Ovis aries: one gene and its partner. The protein of the gene in region 1 interacts with the protein of each later gene in a pairwise test. Links are inferred from orthologs where the notes say so. Each region holds a gene or a part of one and is shown on either strand. Other genes may lie near its edges.

Evidence for each region.
Region 2: the proteins of SWSAP1 (region 1) and ZSWIM7 interact in binary tests that used the Homo sapiens proteins (3 or more experiments, as listed by UniProt). The link is inferred for Ovis aries from reciprocal best matches to the Homo sapiens genes SWSAP1 and ZSWIM7.

What each region holds. Positions count from the first base shown.
Region 1 is NC_056058.1:13,500,055-13,503,062, reverse strand, and holds SWSAP1 (ATPase SWSAP1), read right to left. Parts: upstream 2,269-3,008; 5' UTR 2,254-2,268; coding exon 2,008-2,253; intron 1,473-2,007; coding exon 966-1,472; 3' UTR 637-965; downstream 1-636. UniProt on the Homo sapiens protein: ATPase which is preferentially stimulated by single-stranded DNA and is involved in homologous recombination repair (HRR). Has a DNA-binding activity which is independent of its ATPase activity.
Region 2 is NC_056064.1:33,237,782-33,241,458, reverse strand, and holds the start of ZSWIM7 (zinc finger SWIM domain-containing protein 7), read right to left. Parts: upstream 2,952-3,677; 5' UTR 2,925-2,951; coding exon 2,834-2,924; intron 916-2,833; coding exon 894-915; intron 1-893. Other genes in the region: TTC19 (tetratricopeptide repeat protein 19, mitochondrial), read left to right, coding at 3,083-3,251, 3,331-3,443. UniProt on the Homo sapiens protein: Involved in early stages of the homologous recombination repair (HRR) pathway of double-stranded DNA breaks arising during DNA replication or induced by DNA-damaging agents. Required for meiotic progression, hence for fertility.

The DNA.
Region 1 (3,008 bases):
AGCTTATCCCTGGGATGAGTCAGAAACCCAGGCTGTAGCTTAACCATCTCCTAGGGGTACTCTGGGGTCTTCAGATGGACCCTCTGCATCCTTCCAGCCAACAAGAGACAGCAGATTTTTGTAGGCCACTTTAGGGATGTAGCCTGGAGGTGGGTGCCACATCTTCACAAATTCTGCTGGCTAGAAATGGTCATGTGACTCTAGTAAGAACAATGGACAGCTGGGAAATGTAGTTCAGCTGTGCACCCAGGAGAGACGAGCTGTTTAATGAGCAGCTAGCTAGTCTTTGCCACTAATACTAACATTAATTCCTAAGGCTTTATTCCAAGTCTGGTTCTAAGAAAGCACTCTGATGACACGAAAAGTCAATCAAGTGGCTCATTGGAAGTTTCGGCTTAACTGCTTTTTAAAAGTTTGACATAACCTAGGAAAGCATACCTTCTATTCCAGCAATTCCACTTTTAGATATGTACCCACAAAACCCTCACACACATGGACCAGGATATGTGTATGAATGGTAATAGTAGTAAATAAGTCAATCTGATCATACCTAATGTAGGGTATAGTCACTCATGGAATTACATGCAGTATGGAAAAAGGAATGAATGAAAATGTTGCCGAATCTTAGTACCAGTGTTGAGAGGGAAGTTTCAGATTACATTTATCATGAAATTCTTCTTTATAAAATTCAAAACAGAAAAATTCAACAATATGTTGGCTGGGCACAATATATACAGGATAATGGTATATTTACGAGCGAAAAAGCACTTTACAATCTTAAGGGCTTTGAATTTGCATCTGTCTTGGGTAAACTCCGGGAGTTGGTGATGGACAAGGAGGCCTGGCATACTGCAGTTCATGGGGTCGCAAAGAGTCGGACACGACTGAGCGACTGAACTGAACTGAACTGACGCAGGTGTTCCAGACCGGGAAACAGGCATAGAGAAGTTGTCACACTCCAAACCTCATGGTTGGCCTCCAGAGCTTGAACCCTTGTGCGAGCTGGTGTCAACCAACTGGGTGGGCCATCGGGTGATTGTCATCTCTCCATCTGGTTGAAAAGTCACCCACCATTCTTCCCTGGGGCCCAGCCCACCTGGCTCCAGGGAGGCTCGCAGGCAGCACTGTCCTGGGCCTGCTGCATCCGGCTGCAGCCAGCACTGGGCAGGGAAATACCTCTGAAGGAGTGCCAGCTGCAGAGCATTTCCACTGTCTCCTCCTTCCTCTTGGGTCTGGAGGGCCACAATGAGCCCACAGCCCCGGCCAGGCCCAACCCGGTGGCTGAAGTGGACAGCTGTGTCCAGAAGCAGGGCAGCCAGGTAGGCGGCTTCCTGGGACCCAGGGTCTTCTACTAGGTATTCCTCCAGGCCATCAAGCAGCAACAGTGAAGGGGCTGGTCCACGGGCTTCATGGGCAGAGCACAGAAGCCGGAGGAGCTCACGGGTTGAGGGTGGGTACTGGAAGCGGATCTTCTAGAAAGGGAAAAAGGAAAGGGCCAGATTCAGCATGGGAAGCGGGGCTTCCAGTTAGAGCAGCGCTGCTTCCTTGCATACTCCCCTGGACGAGGCTCTCACCCACTAGACCTCTGGTTCGAGCGTGAAGCAGCTCAGAGGGATCGAATATTCTTCTGTTCACCAACCCCTTACCCTCGTTTTTTTCTTACCCTGCACTCGTCACTGCCTGGTATTATTAAGAACAGGTATGCCTTTCTGCCAAATCTCTAGGGCAATCTTTCCACGTAAAACCTGCCCATAGCGCCCGCCTCCACCGCGGACTCTTGTTTGGCTCCGCCCCTGACCCCACCCCTTGGAACGCAAATTTGTGGATCCTGCCCCCTCATTGGATAGCTTCTCACTCAATCTTAACAAGGCTTCGTATAGTCCCATCCCCAACTCGTCCATATTCCTTCCCACAATGTTTGCTTCGTCTCCGCCATTGGTCTGTCTCCGCCTGTCAGTCAATCCCCGATTAGCCCCGCTACGGGCTGGTCCGCCTCTGGTCCCCTACTTGTAATCGCAGTGGTTCGAGCGCCGGTCCAGTCCTGCGGGGCAGGCTTTGAAGAGGCCTCCGGGTCAGGAAGAGGACCGGGCCTCGGCCTTCCCCTGCCGCCTCCAGGGCCGCCGCGAATAGCAGAGCTGTCTTTCCAGAGCCTGGACCGCCGAGCAACAGCAAAGGCGGTTCGGCCTCAGCTGTGTTCTTCCCGGGGCCCGCCGCGCTGCCCAGGTTCAGCACTCGCCTCAGCGTCTCCGCCATTTGCCGCGTACTTCTGTTCAATCGGCGGCCGGTGCCTGCCCTTAATCCCGCCCAGGGCGGGGTCTCATTGGTTACAGTGCACTTAGCTTCTTCATTAGTCCAAAAATCTGTTCCTCAAAGTTAGATCGACGTTTCCTAGCTCCTCCCCTGGTGAAGGGGCAAATAACCTAGTTTGAGCAACAAATGGAGGCGTTTCAGGGCGATAAGGCCCTCTCGTAAGTGAGTCCGCTGGCGGAAGCACCACGAACACTATTATTGTGAGCTAAGCAGCTAATCAGACAATAAAAGGGTTGAGAGTTGGACGGAACAGGCCCTAATCACGGACACATTACTTAAAATCTCTGAGCCTCAGCTTTGCCCACCTATAGAATGGAGCACATGGTATCTCAGGAATACTGCGATGAACGTGTGTGTGCGCGCGCTTCTGCTGGTGTTACCTAATGACAGTGAAGGGGAGAAGTGGATAAGCTATGCGCTGTCTCTCTCTGCACTTGAATGAATGCTTGCACAAATGTGTGTGTGTTTGGGGTTGCAAGCTTGAGGATATTCATGTGCAGAACATCCGTCAGACCGCAAAGGAGTGCCTTTGAGGGTCTGTGAGAAGAGTCGCAGCTGGCTTCCTCATTGGCCTGGGGGCTTCTTGAGTCCTGCTTAGGGTACAATGAGAGGCAGGACCATAGAACAACAACAAAAAAAAGAGACAGAGAAAGAAGAGAGAGAAGAGGCAAAGATGCCGGGGCTGGGGGACTGAGGGA
Region 2 (3,677 bases), on another chromosome or scaffold:
GGAGAGGAGCCTCAGGTTAGATGATGGACTGAAAGCCACCTCTCCGACTCGACCCGAAGGATTACCATCAGCAGCTTCTGAAAATTTATTTTAATTTGGAAAAAAACATAATACAGCAAAATCCCACATAATCGACCGCCCAGAATAAATGTTAACATGTTGTTTATAAAGAAGACTCTTTATATGTCAGAGGCCTTCCTGTTCTTCCTCAATTTCTTCATTCTCAAGGCAACCACACACATTTCATATTGTTTTTATATTTTACTATACACAGTATATATGTGTATGTGCATACATACACACACAAACATATATACATATGGTGATGTTTTCTAAGTTAAAAACATGAACAGTATATTCTGGGCTTTTTGGCAACTTTTTTTCCCATTCAGTGTGCTTCTGAGAATGATGCACATATATATGTGTGTGTGTGTGTGTGTATGTGTGCATGTATATATATACATAAACATATATTTTAAAATTTAACTTTTGGATAATATTCTAGTGTATGTACCTAGTACATTTTATTTCTTAAATACGCTTAGCCTCTCAGGAAACAGGCCTCCCCAAGCAGTGTATGTGTAAAAGTTGTTGTTCAAGGGTCAAATGTCCTTCTCTTTTCATGTGTTAGTAGTATAAGAGTTACACCTTTTAGAATAATGTTAAAATACAGTGGCACTTAGGACAATAAGGGAGTGCCTTGTACTGTCAAGTACAGTGCTGGTTATTCACTTGAGACAGATTTTTAACAATCACATCAATAAAATATTATTCCTAACTTAGTAAGAATATTTTCTAAAACAAAAAAAGAGTTGATGTTGAAAGAACTGGCCTTTAAAAACACACATTAGTGGTTTATAAAGAACCCCAAATACAAAAGGATATATACTTACGATAACAGATGCTCATCAGGAACTGTAAAACAGGAATGGAAAGTAAGTAAATTGTGTTAAACCAGTGACCAGAGACAAAAACATTTTTAAAAGGATATTATAACCAAAAAGACTTATGTGTAAGATGGTGAACTGAACCTATGCATCAAATTTTACTCAATATTCCACTAAACAATAATACAAGAATTTTCTAAAATGAATAAACTCTCAAGGATGAGGACAGGGAGAAACACAGCTAAGATATGTTCAAAAATTATTTACAAGACCTGAGAAAACTGAAACAAGTTAGCAATAGGAGAGCCAAGCAACAACCTGATTTGCACTTCAGACTCTAATACACTCACTCCCTAAAAAAAAAAAAACCCCTCCAGAAATTGGTGGCACCAGATGGCTCTGGAGTGGGAATGAAGCAGGAGGGCTAAAATAAGACTGTGAAAGTAAGTTTAAGTTGGAAGGTAGTAGAATACTACTTTAAGATGTCTGAGTAAATATTTCCAACATATAATTCAATAACACCTAGCCAAACTATCAATTAAGTCTCAGGACAGGAGAATATGTGCTCTATAAAATAAGACAGTAAACTGAGAAAAAGAAAACTGTACAGTATACAAAACATTAAGGCTCAAAGTAGGTAAAGGGAATTCCCTAGACAGTAATGGTGGGGGAGATCTCAGGAGAGCACCCTGGAAGCTCTAGAAGAAAATGAAATGGACAAAACACCTCAGCATCTTGAGTAGAGGATTCAGAACACTGCTAAGAGTTTGAAGTTGAATTATGGATGTGTGTGTGTTTGTGTTAGCCACTTAGTCATGTTTGACTCTTTTCGACCCTATGGACTGTAGCCCGCCAGGCTCCTGTCCATGGAATTCTCCAGGCAGGACTACTGGAGTGGGTTGCCATTTCTTTCTCTAGGGGATCTTCCTGACCCAGGGATCAAACCTGGGTCTCCTACATTGCTGGCAGATTCCTTACCATCTGAGCTAAAAGGAAGTTATTGAATTAGGGATAAACATATAGAAAAGTAAACAACCAAACAAATGCAATCATGACAGTTTTGAGAGGAAGCAAAAAGTTACAGTAAAGAAGTAGTCATCACTTACTACATGGCTCAGCTGTGACTATATTTTACATCATATAAGTGTAAACTCAGAATACTGATCTAAAGAAAATTATCGTCGAAGGAGGGGGCTCAGGAAGAGTGTATGACTGTCTAAGAACAAAGATTTTTAACTAGAAGAAAATGGCTCTGAAAAACGTGAATCGGTGATAGTAGTCTCTATGAGCCCCAAGCCTCAGGGGCGCCCCCTTCAAGACTCTCACACTGTGCTCTTCACACACAACCCTTTCTGGCAACCACTGTTTGAGCTGTCAACAGACTGGTTTCTCCCCCAAGCTTTTTGGGATTAGAGGATGTTCGAATACCTGGCTCGCCTCATCTTTTAAGCACATGTACTGCTTTAGATTTAACTGAAATGAGAAAAGTTGGCTTCCTCCTCTCAATTCTTTAAAAAACAAGTCAAGGTAAATCCTTTTCAAAGTGCGGTCCTTTGCAAACAAACGCCGCCCAAGTGAACCAGCAAGGTTCACTGAAGCCTAACCGATGTTTTGGATGGTCATTCAGATGGCGGCGGTGGCGCCAGCTCTAACGGGGACGCGCTCTGGCCCCGTGCGCTTGCGGCCAGGGGAGTCTGGTCACAGAGCGTCCTCTGCTGGTCAGAGGAATAAAGGCACAGCCACAGCGTCCAGACCCCTCAAGTCCTGCATCTGGGGCCCTGAAACAGTCACTCGTGCACAGAGGTCAGGAGGGGAACCTTTTGGAACAAACACAGACCGCGGGAAGGAAGGGCTACAGGCGAGTTAAGAGGGCGGAGACCTCCCCAGTGGGCCCGGACCCCCGAACCCCGTCCCGCCGGCGCTGCTTCCCGCGCCCCCGCCCATACTCGGCGCGCCGTCCCGCACAGCCGCCGCCATCTCGCTCAGCAGCTCCTCCACCACAGCTGGTAACGTGAGAGGCCCAGTCGGAGCCGCCATGGCGGTCCCGCGTTCTCCGGGGCAGGGGAGGAAGGCGAGGTGACGTAGACTTGCGTCCCGGCGCATGCGGGCGGTCCGGCCAATCGGCGGGCGTTCGGCGCCAGGGGCGGGACTTCCGGAGCCCGTGGCCGCAGTGCGCAGAGGACGCTCTGGGGGCCATGTACCGGCGTCTGGCTGTGGGCCTGGCCCGAGGTCTGTTGCGGGTGGCGGAACGGCGGGGCCGCTGCTACCCGGTGTGCCTGCTGCCCGGGCCGCCGGGAGTTCGGGCGCCGCCGTGCCGAGGGGCGCCGCGCGGCCGAGGCTCGGGCCTACTGCCGCTGCTGGCAGGTGAGGGGTGCAGGCCGGCGGGCCGGGCGGGCCGGGCTGGTTGGGCTGAGCACGGTGACCTCAGTGCCCCTTCCTGCAGCGCTCGCCTGGTCCTCGAGGCCCGCGGCGGCGGAGCAGGAGCGACGGGGCGCGGGCGGGGCTGCAGCCGGGGACGCCGAAGCCGAGATCATCCAGCTGCTGAAGCGAGCCAAGGTGAGGGGCTGCAGCACGTCCCTCGACTACGGGGACCCGGGTGGACGGAGTCGTGGGGTCCGTGCGTTGGGCGCAGGTGGAGGCGGCGCTGCCGGTTGCGAGGTTGCGAGCGCGGGGAGAAGTGCGCACAGGCTGAGGGGAGCGAGGCGGGCCTCTTCTTCCTGAACGTTTTCCCCTCTTCCCGGGGTGCCGGGTCTCCTCCTTTGCGCTGACCGCCGCCTCATGCCCACCGCG